Tamandua tetradactyla: one gene and its partners. The protein of the gene in region 2 interacts with the protein of the main gene of each other region in a biochemical or structural test. Links are inferred from orthologs where the notes say so. Each region holds a gene or a part of one and is shown on either strand. Other genes may lie near its edges.

Region 1 (10,167 bases), on a different chromosome or scaffold from region 2:
CTGGCCAGGGTTTGCTGAGCAAGTTGGGGTTGGCTAGGGTGGAGTGGGGTAACTGACTGATGGGTGGGCACTTTTCCTGACCTTGGCCTACTTCCCTTCACCTCCAGGTATGGAGACATGGTGCCCAGCACCATTGCTGGCAAGATTTTCGGCTCCATCTGCTCACTCAGTGGTGTCTTGGTCATTGCCCTGCCCGTGCCAGTCATTGTGTCCAACTTTAGCCGCATCTACCACCAGAACCAGCGTGCTGACAAACGCCGAGCACAGCAGGTAACAGCATGTTCCATCTGAGCCCCTCCTATCCCCCCTCCACCTTGCCACCAAAAAACAACTCTTGGGTTTTCCTACCTGACCTTTTACCGCCTCCTCTCTCTGTAGAAGGTACGCTTGGCGAGGATCCGGTTGGCAAAGAGTGGTACCACCAATGCCTTCCTGCAGTACAAGCAGAATGGGGGCCTTGAGGTCGGTAGGGTCCCGGATTGGGTGGGAGGGGGTTGAGCAATGACAGGAGAAGGAAGGTGCTGACTTGTTCCTCTCTGTTCTGTCGACTCCAGGACAGCGGCAGTGGGGAGGAACAGGCACTATATGTCAGGAACCGTTCTGCTTTTGAGCAGCAACACCATCACCTGCTGCATTGTCTAGAGAAGACAACGGTGAGGCTTAATGAGAGGAGGTGTGGCACAATGAAGTGGGGGTGGGGGTCAACACTGTTGCCAAGCTAGCTCCGTACCTGGAATGGGAGGCTCACTACTAATTGCGGAAATCCTGGAGGACTTCCTGGAAGAAGTCACGAGAGAGCCGAGCCTTGAAGGGGTGGACAAGGAAAGGGAAGTGAGAGTGACTTCCAGAGAGTGGGAAGGTGGGACCAGCCTCTGTGGTGTGCCCTGTGATCTTGCTTCCCTTCTTCCCACAGTGTCATGAGTTCACGGATGAGTTGACCTTCAGTGAGGCCCTGGGAGCTGTCTCCCTCGGTGGCCGCACCAGCCGGAGCACCTCGGTGTCCTCCCAACCAGTGGGGACCAGCAGTTTGTTGTCCTCTTGCTGCCCCCGCAGGGCCAAGCGCCGTGCCATCCGCCTGGCCAACTCCACTGCCTCAGTCAGCCGTGGCAGCATGCAGGAGCTAGACACACTGGCTGGGCTGCGGAGGAGCCCTGGCCCTCAGAGGTAAGCATCCCTCTCACCTGCTGGCCATATCTGGGGTAGTGCAGATCTTGGACCAGGAGGTCTGAGATTTCCTGATTCTAAGTGCAGCCAAATCAAGATGGAACCCGAACTCCTCCATGTTAGGTATGGAACTCCTTGTTCTTCATTCATTTATTGAGCACCTACTGAATGCCAGGCAGTTTTAGGCACATGGGTTGAAGCAGTGAACAGAACAGACAGAAAACCCTGTCCTTCTGGACCTTATATTCTAGCAGGATGAGACAGTTAATGAACAAACACATATGCAGATTGTGTAGCATGTTAAACATTTGTAAACATCGAGGAGAAAAATAAATCAGGCTGGAGTGATAGAGTGGAGACCAGGGGCTAATGCAGTTTCAGCAGTGTAGTCAGGAAGGGTTTACTGAGGTGATGTCTGAGCCAAAACTTGAAGGAGTTAAGGGAGTGAGCCAGGGAGATATCTAGAGGAAGAGCTTTATAGGCAAGGGGAACAGCCTGTGCAGAGGCTCTGAGGCAGGACTGTGTCTGTATGTTAGAGACACAGCTTCCTACTGTGGTTGGAGTGGAGTGAACAATGGGGAGTGTGGTAGGAGTCAAAATCAGAAAGGAACGCAGAGGGGGGCAGATTATGCAATACCTACTGTAGGCTATTGTCAAGACTTGGGTGTTATTATGAGCAAGCATAATAAGTGACTTTTTTTTTGCTCTTAGTAAGAGGTTGTAAAATTTTATTTTTTTAGATAAGTCAAAGGTTTACCGAATAATCATGCATAAAATACGTACAATACCAAGTTCCCATATACCATGGTATTATTGAGACTTTGCCTTCATGTGGTATTTTTGCTATAATTCCTGAAAGAACATTTTTATCATCGTACTATTACCTATGGTCCATCGTTCACAACAGATGATATTTGTGTGTGTGTGCTCATTATGTTCCCAGGCCCTGTTCTGAGCACTTTATATCATTCGTTATCTCATCTACTCTCCGTAACAACCCTAGGAGGTAGGAAATATCATTATTCTTTTGTTACAGATGAGAGGAAAGAGAGGCTTGGAGTGGTTAAAGTGGAACCGGGATTTGAATCCAAGACTATCTGACTCTGGAGCCCGTACTCTCTACTACCATGATTGAGGATATAGGGGAAGCAGTTAGCACAGTGCCAGGTGCTTGATAAATGCTAGTAGGAGCTCAATAAATGCCATAATTACTGTGGCAATGATTAAGACATGACTTTTTTAAAGAGCCTTCCATCTTCCCCACCCTTGTCCACAGCCGTTCAAGCCTCAATGCCAAGCCCCATGACAGCCTTGACCTGAACTGCGACAGCCGGGACTTCGTGGCTGCCATTATCAGTATCCCTACCCCTCCTGCCAACACCCCAGATGAGAGTCAGCCTTCTTCCCCTGGCGGCGGCGGCAGGGCCAGCAGCACCCTCAGGAACTCCAGCCTGGGTACCCCTTGCCTCCTCTCTGAGACTGTCAAGATCTCTTCCCTGTGAAGGGTGGGCCTACCCAGCCAGAGGGCCCTCTCAACTCTTGGGACCTCCTTTCCAAAGCCATATTTTGAGGAGGCACAGAGGGGTAGGCCTGGGGACCCCTTCTGCCCTCCAGTGAGAACTATGCAATGGAGTTTCATAGAACTGCTCACCTGGTAGGGAAATAACCAGGAAAAAGGAAACTTCTCCCACTCCAGATGATTTTCCTGGTGGGAGCTGAAGAGCTGGGTGTCTGCAGGCCCCCAGCTTCCTTGACCCAGCACTTGGGGACTGGTCCCTCTCCCCTAGCTGGCCCCCCGCATGCCCCTACTCTCAGGCCCTTAGAGGTAGGTAAAGCTCCCATCTGTCATCTTAGCTCTGGTCCCAGTAGGAGAGCTGAGATTTTTTTCTTCTTTCTGGCTGGCCTGTGGAGGTTTGGGTGTTCAGAGAACATAACCTTCACTTCTGATCTGGTTGCTAGGAGAGGTCCCCACTCTCTACCAGGCCCAATGACTCCCAGACCCTGAAGCTTGGAATGCAACCACAGGCTTCCATGGGCTATGGCCTCAGCAGTGACCTGCCATCCCTAGGCCTTGTCTGAGGGGTCAGGTCACCCCTGCCAACACACACAGATAGCACAAACACCTTTTTCCCTGGCTGCTGGAAATGGGTCCCTGCAACCCGTCCTCTGCCGGGCCTCCAGCAAACTCTAGCAATAGCAGCTGCTGCTCTGACATTATGCAAAGCCTCTGCCCAGTTTGCTGCAGCATTTACATTTTCCCTAATCAGAAGGGCCACCTCTAACCATTCCTCCCTTCTCTTCTCTGGTTTGCTTCCTTCCTGGGTTGGGCTGGAGGCTGGACTGACTGAGATAAGAGTCTAGCAGCCAGCAAGTGCTTGGCTGTGTGTGGAGATCTTGGGCTGGAGTCCAGAAGCATAAGGGATCTGAGACCTGGGTTGGTCCTGAACTCTGGGAGTTGTAGGAGGCAAGAGGAACTTCACGATCTCCTCCTCCTCCTCCCCCAAAACTCCTTTTCACATATTCTTCTCTCTTCTCCCTCTTGGGTCACCTTCTGGAACTCTGTGTCTGCTCTCAGGCTGAATTCTGGCATCATCTCAGGTTCCCTGTCCCTAGCACTGTCCCCGTGGAGCTGGTGGCTGACAAAGATGTAGTTTCCATCAGTCAATAAAATCTGAGAGGAGAGATGAGGACTGAGCTCCTCCTGGCTCTGGGGGCTTGGGAGCTGGGTTGGGCTGGCGGGTTAAGAACACTCTGATTTCCATTCCTTTCAACTAGTAGAAGGGCTGGTGTGGTTAAGGTATAGCAGGTGGATGGTTAATGATATGTTCTGGAAGATGGGGATCTAGGAAAATGCCCTGGGACATACCCCTCGGACATTATCTGATTATTCAAGATGGGGAAACTGAGACCCAGGGGAGCACATAGCTGGTTGGAGGAGACTCAAACCCAGGTTTCCTGGTAGCAAGCAGCTCTGAATTTAATCCTAATGAAAAGCATCCCTGAGTTTGGTGCATTCCTTTTCCTCGTGGAGGTCCCCTACATTCTCTCTTTTGGGCTACTGATTATACTAGGTTGGTGTATGACTAGACTCTGTGGAGCAACAAGAAGACAGACCTTGAATTCAGGTTGACCTGGGTTTCAATTCCTGGGTGAGAGAATCACTTACCTTTTCTTGTCTGTCTACTAACCTGTACAATAGAGATAATCACTCATTTGTTCACCAAATATTTATTAAACACATATCACACGTTTATTCTAGGGATGCAAAGATGGGTAAAGTGGACGTTGTCCCTAAACTAGAGAGTTGAACACAGAAGGCAAAGACAATTAAGCAATTACAATATAGTGTGGTAGAAGAAAGGTAGATGGGTTACAAGAGCATAGAGATGGCAGGAGAACCTAACCTTGCCTACACATGAAAAATGAATTGGAGTTAGCCATGCAAAAGGCAAGGGGGCGGAAACGACTTGGGCAGAAGGAACAACATATGCAATGACCTGGAAGTTAAGAGAGCGAGCTCAGGGTATATAGAGAGCTGAAAGTACTTCAGTATGGCTGGGGAAGAGTTAGGCTGTGATGAGGGTGAGGATGTAGAGGTAGGCCAGGTCACAAAAGACCTCTGAAGCTATGATTCAGATTTTGGACTTCATCCTAAGGTTAATGGGAACATCTGTAGGCCTATCCACAGGAGAGTCATGGTGAGGCTCATGTTTCAGAAGGCTGTGAAATGTGGAGTTTTATAGAGCGAGAGTCCTGGAGGCAGGAAGAACAGTGAGGCTTTTCAGTATATAGTTGGGAAGTGATGGTGGTTTGGACCAGAGTAATGGCGGGAAATTCGGAGTCAAGAGATTTTGGAGGGAGAATTGGCAGGTTTGGGTTGACTGGGAGTTGAGGGAGAGGGTAGCAGTCATGGTTAAGTCCCAGTTTTCTGGCTAGGGCAACTGTTGGATGGTGGTGCCATTCACTGTCAAAGGGAACATTAAGGCTGTTAGCCACACAGAGCCAGGAACATAGTAAATACTTAGCAAAGGTTAGCCATGATTATTCTTAAGAGCTCAGTTTTACATGTATAGTGCTGAACAAATATTCAGTAGGAAGTGGGATATGGCTCTGGAGTGAGATAATCTCGAGAAGATTCAGTGTGATAATGTGCATAAGTCATTTGACATAGTGGTCCAGGAAATGTAGGCCCCTAAATGTGTGCCCCTCACTTCCATAAAGTTTCATGAGCAGAAAACACCCCTAGAGCCCGTTTATTACTGGCACCCCTCAGGGAAGAACTTGAACTTGCTAGGCATCTGAAGGGAGAAGATAGGTGGCTTTCAGACGAGATTTCTGATGGTTTCTCTTTCAACCTGTTGTATAGCTTGCCTCCTAAGATTACAAGGACCGCTCACGTTTCAGAACTTTTTGATTCATGAGCCCATCCATCTGAACACCATAATTACTCCCTGAGGTTGTCTAGACAAACATTATCATTCACATTTTGCACGAGTAAACTAAAACAAAACAACAACAAAAACAATACAATGAGTTGCCTAGGGTCACACATTTATTTGGTGATGATCCATCCGGGACTGGGATGGAAATCTTGTCTCCCGAACCTGGGATCCTTCCACTGTACCGCCACGGAAACAAAGTTACTGAGCACTATGTGCCAGGCACAGCACCAATCCCTTTACAAACATCAATCTCTGATCCTCATTTTTAAAAAACCGGAATCATCGTTGGCATTTTAGAGAAGTACAAATTGAAGACGGTGCGTGCGTTAAATGACTTGCCAAGGATCATTCACACAGGCAGGGCAGAGCTAGGATGAGCTTGCTGCTCTCCAGCCGCTCAACAGCAGGGATTTTTTTACCAACCCCATTGTGAGACGCCAGCCAGTGACAGAGTCGGTTTGCAAACATTCACTAGACCCAAGCAAATTCAGTATTTCAGAAAAATGCTGTGCCGCGCCTGCGCTTTAGCTGAAGGGGCGGGGAGGTCAACGCGAGGGCGAGCTTGCCGTAGTGCCCAGAGAGGGCGTGTCTGCTTCCCAAACACCTACCGCTCCCTCGGAGGTTGCGTTTCTGTCCCAAGGTTGGCCCTTCCGACGTGAGTGACGGCGTCTCCTAGCAAACCAGCGCAGAATCCGGCCTGTTGCCAGGGTGAAGCGGCACCCGCCTCTCTGCCTGATGGGTTTTTGCAGGTGGGTGGGACCGGAAAGACGTTGCAGGGGCTGCTTTGCACTGGAAGTGTTGATGTTTTCCAGTCAGTCCGGCTGACTGCGGCCAAGAGTGCGAGCCTGGAGGTGAAGCGTGCTCGTCACTCGGCGCGGCACAGGCCGCACTGGCCTTTCGCAGTACCCACACCTGCAAAGCAGAGCCTCGGGAAGAAAAGCGAAAGGCAGGACGAGGTCAACGGGAAGAAAAGCGGGAAGCAAGGGTGCAGACTTTGAAGTCTCAAGGTGGAGGGCTCGGAGGGCCAACGCTCGCTCCTAATTGGCCCGTGGGCGTCGTTGAGAACCCGCGCAGCTGATCTGATTGGTTGGTGCCCGTAATTGTTGTGGCGGCAGTGGAGATTTTGCCCACGTACTTCCGAGCGAAGGGCGGGCCGGTATCCCGGCGCGCCTGCGTAGCGCCGCCCAGGCCCCACCCGGTAGTTTAAGAACCTGCGAAGGGGGCGGGGCGAAGAGGGCTTGTTTTGGTTCTGTTTCCCTCGAAGCAGAAGGCCGAAACGAGCGTAGCAGTAGACGTGCTGGACTTGGAGAGAAGGCCACGACAAACTCGCAGCGGTGCCTGCATCTTGGACTTCACATCCGATCTCTGCCAGCGTGACTCGGGAGCGACCGACAATTCTCGAACCGGCGTCTCAATCCCTTTATCCGGGTCCCGCCGTTCCCGGCGTGCTTCGCGCACCATCGTAGAACCCCCCCCTTCCCATCCGGGTCCCGTCCCGGCGTGCCGCGCGCCGGGTTTGCTGGGGGGTACTCCGTGGTGCAGCCATGACTATTCTCCCCAAAAAGAAGCCGCCGCCTCCCGACGCCGACCCCACCAACGAGCCGCCGCCGCCTGGGCCGCTGCCCCCGGCGCCGCGCCGCGGCGGGGGTGTGGGCGTGGGCGGCGGCGGCACAGGCGTGGGTGGCGGGGATCGCGACCGTGACTCGGGCGTAGTGGGGGCCCGTCCCCGGGCCTCACCACCACCGCAGGGCCCGTTACCCGGCCCACCGGGTGCACTTCACCGCTGGGCGCTAGCCGTACCGCCTGGCGCTGTGGCGGGTCCCCGGCCGCAGCAGGCCTCTCCGCCTCCGTGCGGGGGTCCTGGCGGTCCCGGCGGCGGTCCCGGCGACGCGTTAGGTGCAGCGGCGGCGGGCGTGGGCGCGGCGGGCGTGGTGGTGGGCGTGGGTGGTACCGTGGGGGTGGGCGGCTGCTGCTCTGGGCCGGGGCATAGCAAGCGGCGGCGTCAAGCCCCTGGGGTTGGCGCGGTTGGCGGGGGCAGCCCCGAGCGAGAGGAGGTCGGCGCAGGCTACAACAGTGAGGACGAGTATGAAGCGGCCGCAGCACGTATTGAGGCCATGGACCCTGCTACTGTCGAGCAGGTAAGGGCTTGGGAGGTGGTGGTGGCGGCGAGTGGTGGGTGGTATGGCTGATGGGATCCTCAGACTGGTTGGGGATCGGAGGAAGGCTCGTTTCAGATCACCTCGAGGGACCTGAGCTTTCTCTCAGGGCCTGGCACCCCTTTTTCTAGGGGTAGTGGCCCGAGACATCACTCCCTTCAGAGGACTCTGGGTTAGAGACCTAGATAAGATGGGGAACTTAAAGATGGGGTCTGAAGCCTCTTCTAGGGTTCATAGTCACTCGGGGCTTTAGGCTCTCAGCTGATAGGGCCAGTAGGTGAGAAACCCTCAGGGGACACTGGCCGGATGAAGAGCCTCCGGAGGAGTGGGAGTGGCTGATCTCAGGCCTCTCTCCAAGGTAACTAGATCTATGTTCCGTGGTTCAAGATCCTCTTTCCCCGGTGATAAAAGCTGGAGACTTCTCCTCCGTGGAACTCAAAGGAGGTGGAGACCTTAGTGATGGAGTCTGAGCATCCCAAAGTATTTAAACCTTTTCAGGATTGTGAGACATTTTGCCTGGGACAACCCTCACCTTCCCTCTTTCCCAGGGAGATACAGTATAGGATTGTTCATTAGTGAGGTCTGAGACATCCTCAAGGGTCCTAAGGTTGCCTTTAGGGACCTGAAACTCCCCTTTTCTAGAATCAACAGCCTGACACACATACATGCATACTCTTTAGAGATGATACAAGGTTTTTTGCCGGGTTATAAGACATCTCTTAGGGAAGTGAGAGCCCCCTCCCCCTTGGGGACAAGTGCCAAAACCTACCCCCAGGGACCAGAATCTCTACTCAGGTACATGAGACTCATCTTTCCTCTGAGTGACAAGGATCTGTGCTTTCCCTTAATGTATTGAGACTACTACTCAGGGAACATGGGCACCATAGTGTTCTCAGGGATGGGGTCTGAGGCCTACCCAGGGATCTAAGCCTGCCTTGAAGGGCCTGAGTTCTCCCATTTTGGGGCCACGGACCTGATACTCACTCTGCCAAGGAGACTTGGAGCTTTCCCTCAGGGACAGGAGACCCACATACATACCACAGTATGGCTGTGTCTCTAAGGATGAGGACTGGACTTCTCCCTCAAGGAACAGGAGTATTCTTTCCACCCCACCCCCTCCCCCAGAATGGAGCTCTGAGATGTTTCCCTTGGGACATGGGATACATGGATGCAGAGGCTTGAGTGTCCCCATCCCCATGGTCCCCCCACTTAAGCATTTGAACTTTCAGATACATAAGATCCTCCCCTCTCAGGACCTGAGACTTGAACCTGTCCTGAGGATACTGTCTGTCACCTCATCTCAGACAACATACACACACCCAGGTCATAGGCACCTTTATGGATATAAGATTTCTTGCCTTGGAGACTTGTGTCTGAGAATCCTCTCCCCACTTGTGAACTGAGTCCTGAGAACTCCCCATTCAACTTGGGGACACCAGGTAGGGTGAGATTCTGAGACACAGGCTCTGAGCCTTTTTCCAGGGGCCTGACCTTCCCCTCAAATTCAAGAGATCTTTCCCCTTTTGAACTGGGGCTGGAGCCTTCTTTGAGTGTGCAGCTCCCTCATCCCTCCCTCACCCCCCCCCACCAGATAATTCATTCTCACCAGGGAAAGGTACCTAAGGTTCTCCCAGCGTGGCCTAAACTTCCTCTATTGAACAGAACAGCCTGAGTGCCCCTTCAGGGTCATAAGAATCCCTTACCCTAAACCCTCTCAAGGTTAGGGCCAGGAAGGTTCCCCTACTTTCTAGGGGATCTGTCCTGGGACATGGAATCTGAGGCCTCCCTTCAGGAACTGGAGGTATTCTGAGTCTGACTCTGACTCAACTATGCTTGCTTCCCACTTCCACAGTCTGGGAAATATTCTAAGCTTCCTGAACTCCTGTATTTGAGAAGCTTTCTTCTTTTCAGGGATAGGGAAAGGGTTTGGGGCCTCCCCACTCCAGGGAAATTCTTTTCCCACATCCCACTCACCCTTGATGCACTTCATAGGGACCAGGGCCTTTTCTTGAACCTTCTGTTCTCATTCTCTTTCCACCCATCATTTGTTGTTTTTTCTCTCCTGAATTGGGGTGAAGTCTGCCTTTCCTCCCCAAAGGAATAGGGAGTGATCCATCCCTGGACCCAGGGAGAGAAAGAAAGAAAGTCCTATGCTGTCATGATGGCTAGAAAAACGCCTCCCTTCACCCCCTTTGCATCTCCTAGTTTGGGAGTCCCTCCCTTCTGCTTTTTCTCATAAGAACAAGGAGATAAAACCCTGTGGGCTCATGAAACTTTCACTTCTCAGTGACAGAGGAGAGGCTTGTACTTGAAGCAGAAGAAAATGCTCCTCTTCTCCCTGCTTCGGCTGGTCTAGCCTTTAGACTTTTTGCTGACTGTAACTCCAGTCTTGGTCCTGAACTGTC
Region 2 (9,970 bases):
CTGTATAACTCCACCATCACCTTTGATTATTCCATACTTCTCGTTAGGGGTATTCGGGCTATGGCCATTCTAACTTTTTCAACATTGGAAAGGGCTATCAATAAGGGAGACGGGACTAACCGATGTTCTGGAGAGGCTGGGCCCTCTAGGCGTTAAGACTTATCTGGTCCAGGGACCCATCTGGAGGTTGTAGATTTCTGGAAAGTTACCCTAATGCATGGGACCTTTGTAGAATCTTACATATTGCCCTAGGTGTTCTTTAGGATTGGCAGGAATGGTTTTGGTTGGGGGTTGGCAAGTTATGATAGGTAGCAAGGTCTAACTGAACTTTGTGTAACAGTGACCTCCAGAGTAGCCTCTCAACATTATTTGAACTCTCTCAGCCACAGATACTTGATTAGTTACACTTCTTCTCCCCCTTTTGATCAGGATAGAATTGTTGATCCCATGGTGCCAGGGCCAAACTCATCCCTGGGAGTCATCTTCCAGGCTGCCAGGGAGAATTTCACCCCTGGATATCATATTCCATGTAGCAGGGAGGGCAGTGTTTTCACTTGCAGAGTTGGGCTTAGAGAGAGTGAGGTCACATCTGAGCAACAAAAGAGGTCTTCCAGAAGTAACTCTTAGGCATACCTAATAGTATAGAACTTCACAAATGCTTTTTCATCCTCTGAGATGACTTAATGATATTTTTCCTTTATTCTTTTGATATGGTGAATTACATCGTTTGACTTTTCAAAGGTTAAAACACTCAACTTGTTCATAATAGATTGTCCTTGCTATATAATATTAAATTTGCTTTGCTACTATTTGTTTAAGATTTTTACAACTATGTTAATAAATGAAATTGGCAGATAATTTTCCTTTCTCCTAATATCCTTTTCAACTTTTGATATCAAGGATATGCTGGTCTCATGAAATAGAACTGAGTGGTGTTTCTTCTCTTTTTCATTTTTCCCAAAGAGCTTAGGGAAGATTGATACTTTTTTTTTTTGCATGGGCAAGCACTGGAAATCGAACCCGGGTCTCTGGTATGGCAGGCGAGAATTCTGCCACTGAGCCATCTTTTTAGCTGTTTGGCATAATTAAGAAGTGAAGCCATCCTTTCCCAGAGTTTCTTTTGAAGAAAGGTTTTAAATTAGAATTTGATTTTTTTAAATAGTTATAGGACTTATCAAGTTTCTAGTTCTTCTTGAGTCAGTTTTTGCCAATGGTATTTTTGCTCTCTGTAATTTAAACCCTGTTTTCATTTGTAACAGTTGCCGGAATGAAATATATCTGAAATGAATGGCTTTTAAAAAGGGAAATTTATCAAGTTGCAAGTTTACAGGCATCCAAGGAAAGATACCTCAATTCAAGGAAGGTCGATGGGTCAGACACCAACTCTGTCAGCTGGGTAGTCAGGTGGCTGGCTCTGCTGGTTCCTTGCTCTTGTTACTTTCAGGCTCTGTCCCTGTGAGTGTTCCTCACTTTGCTTCTGTGGAGCCAGCTTTCATCTCTTGACTTCCCTTGGCTCTCTCCAGGTTCTGGCTTGCTTAACATCTCATGATGATGTCTGCTAAGCTCCAAGTATCTCCAAACATGCATGTTTCTGTTCTCTGAAGTAACTGATCTCCAAGCATCTACATCTGTTCTGTCATTGCTGAGGCTTCCGACACTTCTGACTCTCCAAAATGTTTTCTATTTTAAAGGAATCTAGTAAACTAACCAAGATTCACCTGGAATGGGTGGAGGCACATCTCCATCTAATCAAAGGTCACATCCACAACTGGGTATCCCACATCTCCATGGGGATATTCTAATCAAAAGTTTCTATATACAATGTTGAATCAGAATGAAAAGAAATGGCTGCTTTGACAAAATTGGATCAGGATTAAAACACGGCTTTTCTGGAGTACATGATAGATTCAAACCAGCACAAATCCCTACTGTTATATTCTGTCAACATTCATATACCTATATATTTTCCCTTTTCATTCTTCATTCCCATTTGGCTCTGTGATCTTATACTGGGTAATCATTTTCCTTTTGCCTGCTAATTTTTTCGCACATTTCTTTTTTCTTTCTTCCTCCTTCTTCATTTTCTTTTTTTTTATGTATTATTTTAATTTTACTTTCGGTCTTGAAATTCTTGAGAGTTTTCTTTGGCTTGCAAATGGGCAAGGCTTGAAGTGTCAGCGAATTAACAATCCAGGAGCAACCCTGAACTTCTTGGGGAATGGAGTTGATCAATAAATTTCTATATGTCCAGTTTTCTCCCCACTCAGTGGGACAATTCTGAGTGTGTTCCACACAGTCTTTTAGAGGGTCCCCAATGAGACTGAACTCCAATTACCCACAGTGGTAAAACATTTATCAGGATATACTGTTTATTGGCTTTTCTTCCTTCCCTGGCTCATTTCTCCAGTTCCACACAGTGCTTCCTAGGGTCACCTCCCAAATAAGTAACTTTACCTCCAGTTCTGCTTTTGGGGAAATCAAATCTAAGACATGGTCTATCTCAGGGATCCAGCCCTTCAAGATCTCAACACAAAGTAATAGGGGCTCATTAGTGCTCCCCACTGCATTAAGGGCCCAGACATCAATCCCTGTTATCTTAGCCCTGAGTGCTGGTCAGAAGAACTGCTTAGCATTTTGGCTTTTTAGCCTATCTTTCTGGAATTGATATTTATCCCTAGGAGAAAAAGTGGTTACAAACACAAGACTCACCTTCCTGGTTCCATTCTTCCCTTAGGTATTGATTTGGTAATTCATTATTATTTTGTTAGTTCTCTTGTGCCTTTGGGCAGATTTAAATAAATATTTTGTTTAACTTTTCTAATTGTCCTCAGAGGGAGATTAATCCAAATTATCAGAAAGGAATTTTGACTCTTCAAAGAGCTTTTGCCTGTGCCTTGTTTATCTTTATTCCCCTATCTCCATTTCCTCTACCCCCACCCATGCCATGGACTTTCACAACCCCGTGCCTTTATCTTGTTTTCCTCTGTCCAAAATGTGAACCACCAAAGTGTAGAGTCCTGGAAGAGGAGGATTGTCCCAAACATGCCAGCCTGGGACAACAAAAAACATCAATGCCAAGGTAGTTTTTAGTCAAAGATCAAGTGGGCAGTTTGAATGGGCTGCCAAGAGGCCAGACTTCAACAAGGCGAGAAAGTCACAATTCTAGGAAACTCGGCATGAGTAAATCAAGTCAGAAGCAGGGTGGAAGCAAAATGAAAAGAAAAAGATGAAGGACAGATTTGGAAAAAAGAGAAATGAGGCAAGGTATGGTCATCGTGTGGAGCTGGCTCATAGGTACATTTAAAAGGATCAGGTTTAAGCCAGGAATTATATTTGGCCAGAACATTCTTGAGGGCTCAGCTTAATTCTCTTGGCTGGAATCACTTCCTCCTTTAACTTCCATAATACTTTTATTATATTTATCATATCACTTTTTTACTGTTGACTTTGAACAGTCTGTTCCTTCTAAATTTTTAACTACTAGATGGCAGCAGTAGAATCAGAGTCAGAAGATCTGGGATTAACTCTCAACTTCAGCACCTGCCTATGGTCTCTGGGCCTCAGTGTTCTCGTCTATACAATGGGGAGAATATTATTTACACCATAGTGTGACTTGAGGATTAAAAGACACAAAGTATACAAAATGGTACACAGTGAGTTTTTCGTAAATAAAAGCTTCCATTTGCTGAACCTATTATGAACTGCTCTAGGTGCATGAGATACATTATCTCACTCAGACCTCACTATGACCCTTTGTAGCTCTATTATTATGGAATATTTTATTAATAGAGAAAAAAGAATCTGATGGGTTAAATAGCTTAATCAATGTCACAATGTCCTGGTAAGTTACAGAACCAGGACTCAAATCCAGGTCTGTTCTGGCTCTAAACTAGCAGTCTCTATTGGGCCACCCTGCTTCCCCATATTGGTCTTGAACTCACTTTAAAAAAAAAATTAATTTTATTAATTTTTAAATTAAAAAAATATATAACACAAACATTAACATATGATCATTCCGTTCTAATAATCAATAATTCACATCATCACATAGTTGCATATTCAGCATCATGATCATTTTTTAGAACATTTGCATCAATTCAGAGAAAGCAATAAAAAGACAACAGAAAAAATTCATACATACCATACTCCTTACCCCTGCCTTTCATTGATCACTAGTATTTCAATCTAAATTTATTTTGACATTTTGAACTCAGTTTTTAGTCTAAATTAATCTGGGCCAATCTTGGAGATGGTGACCTACAAAAGTGTTCCTTTGTATGTCTCCAGGGATACCTAGCCTATCCTGATTTATAAATTTTCACACATTTCGCTCAAAGGAACTTCCTAAGCAAAAGAGTGTGTGTTTATGTTATGCATTAAGAGGGGAAATGTGACATTTCTACTTAAATACATTTTACATGACCCCTAACTTACGGAACATCCACACAGACTGGACAAGATGCTTTATGTTTTCAGTTTCTGTTCTTAAATTCCTTAAGTTTGAGAGTTCCTCAGAGCTTCTTGTCTTTTTGATGAGATTATAGGAACCCAGAAAAAAGCATATAGAACCATTAAAAAATTAATGTATAGAATTATATACATTATATGTATATAGAATACATACATCATCTTTCATTTAAAAGTAATTTTAAAGAATCATGAATCATTTAAATCAGGAGATTTGAAATTTCCACATTTTGTTTTTGTGTTAAGTGAAGAGGGTGGTGATGGGGGAAATTGGGAAGCGTAGGATTATAAAATAAGTTGCTGCAAAGTCAGCTCCATGATCCTACTATTACCTTCTGGGAAGGTCCTTACATAACTACCTTACTTCTCCAATAAAAATAAAACTGTTTATTTCTTGCTTCTTAACTGTTTTTACGCTGCCACTTGAAATAAAACTGCGGATGCAGGACGAAAAAACAAGGAAAACCCCCTACGAGTCCGCAAAATAATTAGGGTTGCCCCAGGGAAATCATAAGAAGCATACAAGAACTCCTCTTCCTTCTTACACACACACACACACACACACACACACCCTCCCTCCAGAGCTCGCTCCCCGCCGCCTCCTAGCTAACACGTGCTCTCCTGAACACTCACTCCGGAGATTCGCCCCCCCGGGGGGGCTGGGCTCGGAAGCCGAGCCGGCCAATCCGCACGCGCCTTACAGCGTCGTGGCCCGACCACGTTGAGCCGTCCAATCGAAAAGGTCTTACCGCCCGTTTCCCGGAGCCCCGCCCCCTCTCCGTCGTGCCCCCGCCTGCCGGTCTCCTCCCTCCTCCTCCACCCGTTCGCCCCTCCCCCGCCCCTCCGGAGCGGAGCCTGCGAGACGGAGAAACTGGGGCAGAAGTGAAGATGGCGGCGGAGGTGCTGGCGGCGGCGGCGGCTACGGCTTCTCGCCAGTGACGCGCGGTGCGGGCTCATCTCCCTCGCCACCTTCCCTAGTCCGGACCCCGTCCGCCGCCGGGACCACACCGACCCCGCAGCCCGCCCCTCTCCACCCTTCCAGTCGCCCCCTTTCCCGACTCCCGGCTGCCGCTGGCGGCGGCGCGCCTCGGGTCCCAGCCGCCGGCCTCGCACTCCTTCGACCTGTCGCGGGGGGAGCGGGTGGCGTGTTGATCCGCCCTCCTGCCCTCCCCGCCGGGCCGCCGGGCCGCGGACATAACGCCCGGCAGGGAGGCGGCGGCGGCCCCTGCGCATTTGTTTCCCTCCATTTGGGCACTGGGAGGCGGCGGCGGCAGTTGTGGGTTTTGGGGAGGGGAAGGGTATTCGGGGAGGAGGGTGGGCGAGAGAGGGAGAGGGCTGTCCCCGGGAGGAGGACGAGTAGGAAGCACCATGACGTCCATCCATTTCGTGGTTCACCCGCTGCCGGGCACCGAGGACCAGCTCAATGACAGGTAAAAGGGCCGGCCGCCGGGCGAGCGGGGGAGGGCCGCCCTCCCCTCCCCCACGGGGCCGCGCTGGGGCGAGCGCTGGTGTTTACGCGCTGGCCGACCGCTGTTGGGGGGCGGGGGGTGGACGTGGTCCTTGCTGCCCTCGGTTAGGCCCCTTCTAGGGCAAACTTCTTGTCCCTGGGGCCGGGGGATGCGGGGGGAGCGCGGTGTAGACGAGGGACGCGGTGTAGACTGGAGAGAGCGCTGCAGCCCCCGCCCAGAGGAGCCGCGTTGAACTCGGTGGAGATGGGGGGCTCGGTTCCCGGGGGCGGGCTGTAATTACCGCCCAGGCCCGAGGAATCCATATTAGTCAAAGTTGAATTGAGACAGACAATGCGGATGGGGGATGGTGAAGGTAAAAAGAGGGAAGAGGAGAAGCGGAGAAGCGGGGCTTGGGGCTCGGATTGGGCTGGGGCGGGCTCGCCCCGGCCCCTAGGAGCTCTGTCCGGAGGGGTGTACGGAAGCCACCAGGCTTGGGGATCTCGGGAAGAAGCCGATTCCCGGCAGATCGGGGTGGGGGTGGGGTGCGCCGCGAGGGAAGCAGGAAGCGCCATGATTATTGTTATTATTATTAAATTTGAGCCCCTGCAGTGAGCTTTGCCAGCCCGGGGAGGGAATGAATTCCACAGGGGGTGGGGGAGCGGGTTCTCTTTGCTCTCTCTCTTCCGAAACGGTGCTGGCAGTTCATCCTCAAGTCTCTTTGGTGCGAGCTTTTTTGTTTCCTTTTTTATTCTAATGATAGTGTTTTCCTGAGTTGTAATTTGACAGCTGAAGACCGTGCATAGAGTCAAAGGAAAACTCTTACGTTTGCAATTCGCAGTGTTGCTTAACGCGCTGTACATTTCTGAGATGGGTTTGCTATGAGCGGACGAGGAATTATTATTTTTTTGTCTTTTATAAGAAGGCTGTTTTCGCTGTGGATTCCTCTTCATCTCTTCACCAGCGTACCCTGCCAGTTCAGGATATTCAAATTGCAGGGCCGCCTGCTCACCGGGAACTGAGATAAAGCAGGAAAAGTTCCTTTACTGTTGCAAAAACAAGAGACTCAGGAGGTTGAGAGAGGCCTCCATTTAACCATGCTTTAAAATCTAGGGCTCAGATCTAGTGATGGGCATAATGTTAAAAGGGTCAGAAAATGGGGCATTTAAACTCTTCCTCCGCTCCAGGGCTTTATCTGCTATCTGTATTTCTTTTGAATGTAGAAGCCATTTGGTCCCAAATTTAGAAGTTAGGTATAAATTTTTGCTAAGTGACCCGATGACATAATTTGCATGACGCCCTGTTTGTCATTCACTTCAAAGAGGGAAGAGGAGGCTGAATTTGCTGTTAAGATATTGTCTCTGTCTCAGTGTATGTATGTAACCGCCTCAGGTCGGCCAACAGCTTTTGTATCCAAAAGCGGGCTGTTTAGTTTCTGGCACTGGGTTCGGATTTGTCTGATCTTGGCTGTAGCCATATTGTATTTAACATGTGTGTGAAACTTTTGAAATACTTTTTGGAAATGTTAACTATTTGGAGTTGTCACATAGTTCCCTTAAATATTGAGATAACTTTTAAGCTTTTAAACGTTTTGTCATGTGCTCCTTACTATGATTTTATTTTGTTAGAGATCTTTTTAAGACTTCAGCATAAGATTCTTTGTAAATGTAGAAGTCATCGTATTAAGACCAGGCTAGTAGTAAGGATAGGTTTAATGTCGTTCACAGAACCATGTCAGTAGCGCTTAACTTAGAAAATTATTTTCTATATTACTCCTAACGTTATGTATCAAGAATCCTGACTAGTTTACTCAATTGGCTATGCATGTCAAAAACTATTTATTTTACAGTTGTGGTAAATGGTTCATTTTTGCACTTTTTAAATTTTGCTTCATTGAGCAATATACAAGTTATGTCTTTTTTAAGCTACCTTTTCCATGCCTACTGCAAGCAGTTTATCAGCTTATGTTTTTATTACTGTGATGTCTGTGTGTAATATTAAGAATATTTAATCTTCTTGAGTTTTCACTTCCTGAAACAAGGAAAAAGACAAGTGGATTTTATTCAGATCATAAAATGTGTGCATCATTGTGAAAAATATTTGAAAAAGGGAGGTGTTGTACGTAAAATTTTAGGGCTCTCTAGTTGTATCTAAAATGTCTCATCCATGTAGATTTATTTTGTGAAGGCAGTATTTGAGACAGTTATGACCCTGTTTTGAAGTAGTTGACTTGCGGTGGGAGCTGTTCTGTGTCTCCCCTGCAAAAGAAATGATCCTCTTTGCATACCTACTCGCACAGTTATAAGATCAGCTTTTTGCTGCATTGCTTGAGAAAAATCTTTTTTTGAGAGTTTTTCTTTCTGAAACTTTTTAATTGACTGTAACAAGCAGCTCAGCCTATTTTCAACAGATACAAACTTTATTAAGGGTTACTAAGTTTGGGGAAATAGAAAGGAGTGTGCTAATATAGTTTGATTTTTGTTAATTTATTTTTTATTCAACATACAAACATTCTTACAATGTGATCATTCCATTCTTGTTATATAATTAATAACTCACAATATCATCACATAGTTGTATATTCATCATCATGATCATTTCTTAGAACATTTGCATCAATTCAGAAAAAGAAATAAAAAGAAAACAGAAAAAACCCCATACATACCATACCTCATACCCCTCCCTTTCATTGATCACTAGCATTTCAATCTACTAAATTTATTTTAACATTTGTTCCCCCTTTTATTTATTTTTAATCCATATGTTTTACTCGTTTGTCGATAAGGTAGATAAAAGGACCATCGGACACAAGGTTTTCACAATCACAATACAGCTTGATTTTTATGAGAAACATGTCTATGATAGTCTCAAAGTGAAAACTAAGTTTGGGCTGGAAAAGGGTATAAATAAGTAGACTTTATTCTTTATATGGAAAGCAGTAAGATTAGACAGGCAGTATGATAGAGCAAATAAATTGTTAAGTTAAAAATTTGGGGGCCTTAAAACGTCAATATTCTTCAAATATGCTTTCTTTTAATATCCAAATTCTGTCAAAAGCCATATATTTTAATAGTCTGATATCTCAAACATCTAAAGTGTACTCAGCATTAAGAAAAACAGTTGTATCTGATAATTTATTCTTAACTTGTGTTTCTAAGTTTGCTAATACTGATAGTCTGCATATATTGGATTGTAATTTGTGCCTAATTATTGGCCCACAGAGACCAAATAATGAATGAATGAATGAATGGGGATGGTTAAGACAAAAAGAGAGAAATGCAAAGTCTGGGATGTTGTGGCTTACACATGTGATTATAAGGTCTCTGGCAGGAGTGGGCAGCCGCTCATAAATATTCATTCCGTTGAATTGAAACCATTTAGTGCTCTAATACTTTTTTATTTTTCTGATGAATATCCTGGACTTAGTGCTGGGTTCCTACTTAAAACAGAAAGTTAGGGCTGTGTTCCTGTTTAATACATTGTCTCAGAGAAATAGCAAACCAATACCAAATTCATGGTTCTGCATGTTGAGCTTGAAGGGAGAGCTGAAAGTGACTGTTCAGGACAACGAAGTCCTCTCACTAGGCACATGAAGAAACAGGCCCAGAAAATGTACAGAATTTATTCAAGGGCACACAGTTACTGGCAGATGAGGGCCACATCTTGGGTCTTCTGACTTCCTTTTAATTAAAAAAATTTTTTTTTCAGTTCTGGGTTCTTAACACTGTTCGACATAGATGGTATTCCAGAATACTTTTGCCGTGAGAGATATCCCAGCCTTTGTACCCATCTGTCTTAGATTTTTTTTCCCCCTTTCCCTCAACTCCTCCCTCTAGGACTTCTGATCAATCTGTGCCTTTTGTCTGGGAGCTCACTGCCTTAACCAGGAGAAGCCTTTTTAAGGTGATATGGGTAACCTACGACTTGTTGCCCCTGTCTTGAATTATTCTTCAGCATACAGTTTGCTTACAATACTTGCTAGTTCTGTTTGTCTGTATGTGCAATTTTCTTGTGAGCTTTGCTTTTTTTGGCACAGTAATGTGTTGTGCAATCATAAG
Region 3 (9,861 bases), on a different chromosome or scaffold from region 2:
TTTACGAGATTCACTGCTCATCATTGTTTCTTGTACTCACCATCTTCCCCTAAATTGTTTTGGTTGAGTTTTAACTAAGCTAAAGTATTTCCTCAAAAGGGTACTAAGGGCTATATATTTCTAAGCTACTACACGGCCAAAAAAGTCTTTTACCTTCATATTTGAATAAAATAAAATATTATTGAGTCTTAAATTTCAGTCCTTTCCTTCAATAATCTACAGATATCCCAGAGTATACTGTTATAAAAAATTAATTTACATTATAAATATCTTGTTTCAGCTGAGAGCGTCAGATGTTTTAACACTTAAATTCAGAAATTTCACCATTCTGGTTAGACAAGAGTAATTTTTTCCTATTAATGTTGCCTGTCAGTCAGCAAACCCTTTCAATCTACAAATTCAAACTTTTATTAAACTAGTAGTCCCTTCAGCAGAGTTGGTGAGAGAGAATCAAGAAAGTTTTGTATTCAGAAGTATATCAGAACTACTGAATTTTTTGTTCTAATGTTTGGCAGTATAGACAGCATAAAGTAACGATTAAAAGCATGGGTCTGGGGTGGTGCGATAGTGGCTCAGTGGTGGAATTCTCGCCTGCCATGCCGGGAGATCCAGGTTCGATTCCTGGTGCCTGCCCATGGGGAAAAAAAAAAAAGCATGGGTCTGGAATTCGGCTGCCTTTCAGTTATGTGACCTTGGAAACCTCTGTCACTCAGTTTCCTCTTCTGTATATGGGTAAGAATTACAGAGCCCGGCACATAACATTTAAAAATGTTTATTAAAACATTTAGAGTACGCAAAAGTTGTTAGAACAAGGTATAAAGCAGAAATCACAGGTCCTAAAACTGTAGAGAGGAAAAATGTCACAAAGAATCCCAAACTGAGGCTATAACCCTAATCTCAACTGTAGTGTAACCAGGGTGATCAGGTAAGAATAAAAAAGGCTCAGTACTGCCTATCATCACTATTAAAAGCTCAATGCCCATGAGAAACGCCATCCTTATTTATAAAATGATATAAAAAATAATAAAGAGGCATTTCGAACCCTCTAAACCTATGCTATCTAATAAAGTTGCCATTAGCCATATGAGGCTCTACAACTTTAAATGTACACACAAAAGTTTAGTTCTACAGTTGCACTAAGCCACATTTCAATGCCCACTATAGTCAGCAGCTACCTTACTATTCTCTACAACAGTATTAAGAAAAGATAAAAAGAATGAATTATTGGATCTGAACCTCAGGCTGCCTCAAATGCAAATTATTAATGCACTTGTGCAACATGGTGGTCCAGATCACAAAGGTGATAACTTGGACAACTTTAATGTTGGACCAGGCAGAAGAACTAGGTTCAAATACCAGATGGACATTGGATATGTCATTGAATCACAGGCATCACAGTATAATGGTTAAGAGCACACAATCTATGGATTACTTGGATTTGAATTCTAGCATTCACTAACTGTTTACAAGCGGGTGAATTAATATTTAATTGTTATATTTATTTTAAAGTATTACCTACCTCCTAGAGATATTAAGATCATTAAATTAGGTTAATATTTATAAAAACACTTGAAAGATATCTAGTAGTACTAAGTATTATATAAGCATTTGCTAAATAAAATAAAAATAAAATCTATTTCCTCAATTTCAATATAGGGGGATAAACTTACTCTGCTCACTTCAGAGGCTGTTGTGATAATATTTGGTATATAGAGGTAAGAGTATAAAAGTTCTCTAGATTACAAGGAAGGAAACAGGGACCTTATTTTCTACCTTCTTTAATATCCCACAATATTCACTAATACTGCTGTGGTAAGTAAACATTTCATAAAATGTTTATATCTTCATCAAAACTGGATCACCAAGCTCTAGAGTCATAAAGGCATGAACCTGAAGAAGGCACAGGGTGCTTATTCACGTAAGTCTGCTATAAACCTACACTGTCCCAAGTTAGAAATTACATACTACAATTTGAGCTCTTAAGGAGCAATATATTATAATAAAAACGCTCCCAAGACTTTAAACATTACAGTGAGTCTCCATTCTCTAACTCCAGTTCCTTAAGAAAGAGAAACACCATTTTTGGTTAAGTATCTATCTAAATTTGTGATAGATAGTTATCTATGAGGAGTAGTGAAGTTTTGCTCACGTTCACAATCAACAAGCAGAGTAAAAAGACTAATTTGTCCCAAATACCCTATTTTTCACAAACAGAAAGCAGTCACAAAATGACAAAACACTGGGATTCTCATTAAAAATCATCAGAGACCCATTTCCTATTTGCAAACACAAACTGCAGCAGATAAGTTCCAAGCCTATTTAGCAAAAATGAAAATCAACACCTAAACAACGGCTCAAATGCAATTTGTGAAAAACAATGCCACCAGGGTAAAAACAGGATTAGCCTACACATACAAAACGGGAATATCTGTCTTCTGTTGAAATGAACAACGGTGTTCAGCTATGCTAAACCTTTTCCCAAGTGAAACTGGAAGCTAAATTCTTTCGAGTGTGGATTTTCACGAGGTGACGGGGTTGCAAAATCACAGGACAGCAAAAGGAAGCAGAAACGGCTCCTTCTATGAATCATTAGAAAATACCACTACTGGCTGCTTCAACAAACGTTTTGAAAAGAAAAGTTCACCACAAGTCCTATTGGGGGACGGGTACAGGAGTAAACACAGAGTATTAGAGAGGAATTAAAAGGTAAAAGGATCAGAATCCAAGACAGTCAATTGGATGGGCCGTCAAAGTTCATGTAGCTCAAAGTTTGCCTGGAGTAAGGGTCTTCAGTACACCAGACAAAGGTCCTACTATTCAGAGCATGGGATACAATTTAACTAAAAATAAGGGGAAGGAAAGGCGAAGAAATGGTAGAAAGGGGCTCAGAAAAAGTACAAGACCGCCAACGGTTCCAGGCGCTCCACTAGAACACACGCTAGCCAGCTAGTCCCTCTGTCCCCTTCTCTCCCTATACCACCCCATCCTCACGTCGGCGGGGGCGCGCAAGCGCAGCGAGTAGGGGTGCGCGCGGCGACGCGCAGGCGTAAAGTGGGTAGAAACAATGAGCTTTGTTGCCGAGGCGGCGTGGGGGGCAGGGAAAAGGCGGAGGGAAAAGGGACTGGGGAGGAGGGAGGACGCAGAGGAGGGGGGCCGGAGAAAGTGCTATCCCGGCAAGCCCCGCGCTCCACCAAGTACCCGGATAGAAAGCTGCCAGCCCCAAATCATAAATAATGACAATGAGAAAAAAAAACGACGGCCATTTCCCAGAGAAGAAAGAAGTGAAGTCAGTTCAAGCTTGTCCCTCACACTCGGGGGAAATGGACAAGGAACAAGGGAGACCATACAGGGGAGCGGTAGCTAACAACCCGCCGGGGACCTTCTAGGCCTCTCAAGCGTCGCTGAGGTACTGTCCCTCACCGCCGGGGCCGCTGCACCTTTCTCGCCGCACCGACCGAGGGGATCCCTCACCCAGTGCACGACAGCGGGGACGGCAGCCAACGAATCCTGTCGGCCTCCGCGGATCTCCACAGGCAGCGCCGCTTCCCCGCTCGACGTGCGCTTCGCCCGCCGCCTCCCTTCTTCAGTCCAAACAAACACCCCAGCCCGGAAGTGACTTCACTTCCCCCTCCGCAGGCCCCGCCCACCCGCCGTCAATTCTGCTCTCCCGGGCCACTAGAGCGCGCGCGAGACAGTACGCTCAAAGGTCTCCTAGTCTCCGAGGCTGCACGTGTGTGCACGCGCAATGGCCGTTTGTACGCAACCCCGTGGCGGGCCGCGAGGTATTTTGGGAGCCCTATGGGGAACACTGGGAGGAGTGCGAGAAGCGGGAATAGGGGCGGGGCCGGTGTCCCCACGCCTCTCATTCTTTGGGAAAGATGAAATACAATGGGTGGGGGATCTGGGGACAAAAATAGATTCTGACAGATATCCAGAAGTGAACTCTTAAATACACTGACATTTAAATAATGATGCAGCTCATTCACACACCCAGATATACATGCCAAAAGTGATAGTGTCACACTAACAATGACAAGCACCTATTCACATCGAGATCCTGACACAGAAATATAATAAACATAAACTAATTCAAACACAGAGGATATAATAGATGATCTACAAGCAACTGCATTCGGACATATACAGGCACACACTCTGTTGAAGTTGGACCTTTTACACAGAGACGAAATATAGGAATACATGGTTCCCAAGCAGCTGTGGAACCAGGGTAGAAAGCTGAGACCGCAAGGCTCTATGATTTTCTAGGGCATGGTCCTGGGTGCGCTAACTCATATTGCTCATTAGTCTAATTCATGCTTCCTCGCTGGCCCCAAGATAGCATTTTTATAGTGAAACGAGTCAAGTACAGAATAGAATACAATATTTGTAAGAAAAAAAGAAATTTTGAATATGTACTGCATTTGAAAGAGGACACGCAAAACTGATCATTTCTTGCCTGTGGAAGGGAAAATGATGAACCTGAAAATGGGTGAGATTCACCTTTTATTATAATCTTTCAGAAACTTTTCTATCATATGCTTGTAATATCTATTAAAACAAACAAAAATTCCCACCATGGGAAGGAATGAATCCAGAAATATGTTATTCCCTTTGAGGACCATTTCATTCATTGAAAACCTGCTTTGAATCAGTTCCAAAGCTCCAAAGAAGTGAAAAACACAAGCGTTCTGCCCTAGCCCCTGGGCCAACCACTTTGGCCATATTTGCACATCTGTATCCTAACCTGGGAGAAAAAGTTTGGCTTTGCTGTCTTAAAGCATACAGCTCTAGGAGGAAGGAGATGATGCTGTTTTACTAGTCTGTGAAGTATATAATTCATGTAAAATGAGGAACCTGAGAGATAAGCTATCAGCCCAGAGGCTGGAAGATGCATGAACAGGAGGGAGAACAAAAATCAAATAGGTTTTTAGATTATCTGTAATTGACCCACTCTTAAAAGCTAATCATGATATTGCTAATTGCCAGCTTGCCAACCCCCAACAAACCACTACTGTCAACCCTAAAGAACACCTAGAGCTTTAGCTGAGGTTCTACAAAAATTCCACACACTAAAATTACTTTCCAGAAACCTACAACCTGTAGATGAGTTCCTAGGCCAGATAAGTCCTCAAATACAGAGGGGCCTGCCTCTGCAAAAATATCAACTAGGGGGCTGTTGGTCCGCCGCGGCAGCGCATTGCGAGCGGGCGTCTCCGGGCGGGAGCGAGCAGGGATGCTCCGGCGGGCGGGCGGCGGCGGCAGCCGTGTGGGTTGAAGTGGCTAGAACAGCGCCCCCCCCCCCCCCTCGGCCTCTCCTTTGAGCGAGCCGCCAGAGCTGCGCTGCTGAGGGCCTTTCGGCCTCCGCTCCTTTAGCCTTGGGGCCCGGCCCGTCGCAATCTCTGTCCGCCGAGGCCTGGAGCCCCTGCCTGGGCCCGCAGCCTACCTACCTCGGGCCGGCCGCTCTCCACACCGGGCCACTGAGCCCCACTTCCTGCTCTTTCAGTTACCCTGGGCAGAGGCGGATGGGTCTGGATAAATTGTCCCGGGGGCTCCCGTTGAGGTGGGCCGGGGGACCACGCTCTTTTTAGAGGGCCCCCGTGGGACCCGGGTAGGTAAGAGTTTTTCTTTGCATGGGCGGGGGACTCCCCGAGACTGCCGGGACCATGACCTGAACTGTGTGAGCGGAATGTGTCCGAAGCTCGAGAGACAGCTCACCTGAGCCGCACCCTCCCCAGACCAGCATGTCATCTGAAGAAGCCTCCCTCGGGGCTTTGGAAAGTCTGATGACAGTTCTTCCATAATTGTACGACCAATGAAAGAAAACGTGAGATAGAGAAGCTTCTTGATAACTCTGCCCAGCAGACAGGAGCCTGGAGGTTCTGCCTGTATTTTCTCTCCAGCACTAGGAATGACTATGTAATGATATACAGTTTAACAGTTTTTGAGAATTTGATCAATAAAATGTGGCTTGGGGTCCCCTCTCAGGATAAGATGGAAATCCATAGCTGCCTTCCCAAACTCCTTTTGGCTCACCACAAAACCTTACCTTACCTTTATCTGGAACAAGCTCTGCAAAGTTATTGTTGATATTGGCCGTCAGGACTGGCCCATGTTCTACCACGACTTTTTTACTAACATTTTACAGTTGATCCAGTCCCCTGTGACAACCCCTCTTGGGCTGATCATGCTGAAGACGACTTCAGAAGAGCTGGCTTGTTCCTGGGAGGACCTCAGTGTTGCACGGAAGGAGGAGCTGCAGAAGCTGCTGCTGGACCAAGTGCAGACAGTACTCGGGCTTCTGACAGGTATCTTGGAGACTGTCTGGGACATGCACAGTGTTACTGCTGCCACTCCATCACCATCCCCAACCTCAGGAGTAAGTGGTTTGGACTGCTGCCACATGTGGCATATCTCTTCTTAAATGCAGTTGGGGGTCTCAGCAGGGCAGCGGCATCTCATCTAGGCCAGTTTCAAATGATCTGTCCTTAATCTATTTCTGGCCTTTTCCCCCATGTTTTCTGAGTTCTAGTTTTCTTAGTTCCTTGTAAGTAATTACACTTTCTCATATAACATATATATTTAATTTTTTTAATTTATTAAACAAACCAACATACAAGCACAGGTATTCTTACCATATGATCATTCCATTCTACATGTATAGTCAGTGACTGATGGTATCATCATATGGTTGTATGTTCATCATCATGATCATTTCTTAGAGCATATGCATCAATTCAGAAGAAGAAATAAAAAGAAAACAGAAAAAAAATTCATACATGCCATACCCCTTGCCCTTCCCTTTCATTGATCACTAGCATTTCAATCTACTAAATTTATTTTGACATTTGTTCCCATCATTTATTTATTTTTAATCCATATCTCATATCACATTTTTTTTGAAATTTTAAATATTAATTACCTTCTATTTTCAGTACCGTGAAGTAATCTCATATCACATTTGATCAACACATTTGTTCCTTGCCTTTCTAGTTGTCTTGGTTCCTCTTAAGTAATTGTATTTTCTCATATAACATTTGATCAAAAAAAAAAGAATATCAACTAGTTCTATCCCCCATTCCATATCTTTGACACTTTCCAACATGAAAAAGTTAAAATAGACATAGCCCAGATACTCCTAACGATTGAGAGAAGGATAAAAGGAAGAGGAGTTATAACAGAAAAGTTAGGATTTAACAAATGAGTATGACTGTTGAATCATTATATTGATATTTCTTTTTAGTCTTGTGTCTTGGAGCAGCTATAAGGAAAAACCTAAAATTGTGGAACTGTAACCCATACCAAACTCTGAAATCTGTTCTATAACTACTTGTTACAATGTACTTTGAAATGTATTGCTCTTTTGAATGTTATATATATATATAAAGGTATCTATTCTTCAGCTAGATATTGCTAGTTGCCACAGTTCATCAAACCCCAGCTAACATCATTAGCCCCGTTAACCCCGAAGAACACCGAGGGCTCTGAGGACCTACAAAAGTTGCGTACATTATTTACTTTTCAGAAACCTAAAACCTTCATATGGTCCCTAGTCCAGATAAATCCTGAAACCCAGAGGTGCCATTCTCTCCAAGAACATCAGCCAGTTTCATCCCCTTATCCCATATTGCTGACATCCCTTTTCAACATGAAAAAAGTTAGAATGGACATAACCAAAAAATCTCTAAAGATTGGGAAAAGGATCACATGAGGAGATATAACAGAGAAGTTAGTATTTAACAAACGAGTATGACCACTGAATCATTTATTTCTTTTAGTCTCTAGTGAATTTGAGCAACTAGAAAACCTGAAATTGCTTCTTTTTTTTTGCATGGGAAGGGACTGGAAATCGAACCCGGGTCTCTGGCATGACAGGCAAAAACTCTGCCACTGAGCCATCGTGGCCCGCCCTCTTTTTTCTTAATTTTGAGATCTCTTATATATAAATACTTGTTACAATGTACTTTGAAATTTATTGTTTTGCTTTAACTTATGTGTAAGACTAAAGCAAAAAATGTTTATTTGGTACAAAATTTATAATTTGAGTAGTGCATTTCCTAATATAATTTATGTGGGCAGTTGTGCTCGTTTGAAATGTATATGACCCCTAGAAAAGCCATGTTTAATCCTAATCCCATTTTGTAAAAGCAACCATTTCTTCTAATCCCTATTCAGTACTGTGTGCTTGAGACTATAATTAGATCATCTCCCTGGAGATGTGATTTGAGTGGTTGTTGAGCTGGATTAGATGGAGGCGTGTCTCCACCCATACAGGTGGGTCTTGATTAGTTTCTGGACTCCTATAAAAGAGGAAAAATTTTGGAGATTCAGGAGATTCTGAGAGAGCAGAACAACATAGTCACGAGAAGTAGAGAGCCCACCAGCCAGCGACCTTTGGAAATGAAGAAGGAAAACGCCTCCCCGGGAGAGCTTCGTGAAGGGAAGCCAGGAGAGAAAGCTAGCAGATGATGCCATCTTCATCACATGCCTTTCCAGATGAGAGAAACCCTGACCCTGTTTGCCATATGCCTTCTCACTTGAGAGGAACCCTGAACTTCATCGGTCTTCTTGAACCAAGGTATCTTTCCATGGATACCTTTGATTGGACATTTCTATAGACTTGTTTTAACTGGTACATTATCTCAGCCTTAAAACTGTAAACTAGCAACTTATTAAATTCCCCTTTTTAAAAGCCATTCCATTTCTGGTATATTGCATTCCGGCAGCTAGCAAACTAGAACAGTTTAATTGAACACCATAAGTACAAGAAATCTTGAGTAGGGCATGAGATTTTGTTGGTTCTGTCCAGAGTAATGCCCTGATCCCAGTGATTTGAACAGTGAATAAAAAGTATCTGCAAAGTCCCTTTGGGGGAATGGTGAGAAAGGGGGAAAATTCAACTTCCCCATGTGGAGAATTCCTGATATTCTCACAAGCAGTGGGGACAACCAAAGCAATAGACCAAGCCTTCAATCTTGGGGTTTGTTCACATGAAACTTATCCCTGCAAAGGATAGGCTAAGCCTACTTAAAATTAGGCCTGTTATCCCCAAGAGAACCTCTTTTGTTCTCAGATGTGGCCTCTCTCTCTCTCAGCCAACACAACAAAAAAAACTCACTGCCTTCCCCCTCTCTACGTGGGACATGACTCCCAGGGTTGTGGACCTTCCTGGCAACGTGGGACAGAAATCCTAGGATAAACTGGGACTCAGCATCAAGGGATTGAGACAACCTTCTTAATCAAAAGGAAGAAGAGTGAAGTGAGACAAGATGTCAATGGCTGAGAGATTCCAAACAGAGTTGAGAGGTTTATCCTGGAGGTTATTCTTACGCATTATATAGATATCACCTTTTTAGTTAAGGTGTAATGGAGAGGCTGGAGAGAAGTGCCTGAAACTGTAGAGCTGTGTTCCAGTAGTCGTGTTTCTTGAAGATGATTGTATAATGATAGAGCTTTTGCAATGTGACTATGTGATTGTGAAAACCTTATGTCTGATGCTTTTATCTACCTTGTCAACAGACGAGTAGAACATATGGAATAAAAATAAATAGGGGGAACAGGTGTTAAAATAAATTGTTTGAAATGCTAGTGATCAATGAAAGGGAGGGGTAAGAGGTATGGTATGTATATATATATATTTTTTTGTTTTCATTTTCTCTTTTTCTGTTGTCTTTTTCTTTTTCTGAATTGATGCAAATGTTCTAAGAAATGATCATGATGATGAATATGCAACTATGTGATGATATTGTGAATTACTGACTATATATGTAGAACGGAATGATCAAAATAGGAATGTTTGCGTTTAATTGGTGTTTTTTTTGTATTTTAAAAAATAACGGTACAGACAGATGAGAAAACATACAG

The links.
Region 1: the proteins of UBR5 (region 2) and OTUD5 form a complex in vitro, tested with the Homo sapiens proteins (2 studies listed by BioGRID, with this or other methods). The link is inferred for Tamandua tetradactyla from reciprocal best matches to the Homo sapiens genes UBR5 and OTUD5.
Region 3: the proteins of UBR5 (region 2) and PAIP2 form a complex in vitro, tested with the Homo sapiens proteins (2 studies listed by BioGRID and IntAct, with this or other methods). The link is inferred for Tamandua tetradactyla from reciprocal best matches to the Homo sapiens genes UBR5 and PAIP2.

The regions. Positions count from the first base shown.
Region 1 is NC_135353.1:121,200,082-121,210,248, forward strand, and holds the start of OTUD5 (OTU domain-containing protein 5), read left to right. Parts: upstream 1-6,288; 5' UTR 6,289-6,692; exon of another isoform or gene 6,693-6,873; 5' UTR 6,874-7,150; coding exon 7,151-7,744; intron 7,745-10,167. Other genes in the region: A-type voltage-gated potassium channel KCND1, read left to right, coding at 108-270, 379-462, 555-653, 914-1,164, 2,441-2,666. UniProt on the Homo sapiens protein: Deubiquitinating enzyme that functions as a negative regulator of the innate immune system. Has peptidase activity towards 'Lys-48'- and 'Lys-63'-linked polyubiquitin chains. Can also cleave 'Lys-11'-linked ubiquitin chains (in vitro).
Region 2 is NC_135332.1:146,896,775-146,906,744, reverse strand, and holds the start of UBR5 (E3 ubiquitin-protein ligase UBR5), read left to right. Parts: upstream 1-5,611; 5' UTR 5,612-5,835; coding exon 5,836-5,897; intron 5,898-9,970. UniProt on the Homo sapiens protein: E3 ubiquitin-protein ligase involved in different protein quality control pathways in the cytoplasm and nucleus. Mainly acts as a ubiquitin chain elongator that extends pre-ubiquitinated substrates.
Region 3 is NC_135346.1:19,192,674-19,202,534, reverse strand, and holds the start of PAIP2 (polyadenylate-binding protein-interacting protein 2), read right to left. Parts: upstream 3,622-9,861; 5' UTR 3,472-3,621; exon of another isoform or gene 3,421-3,471; intron 2,975-3,420; exon of another isoform or gene 1,671-2,974; intron 1-1,670. UniProt on the Homo sapiens protein: Acts as a repressor in the regulation of translation initiation of poly(A)-containing mRNAs. Its inhibitory activity on translation is mediated via its action on PABPC1.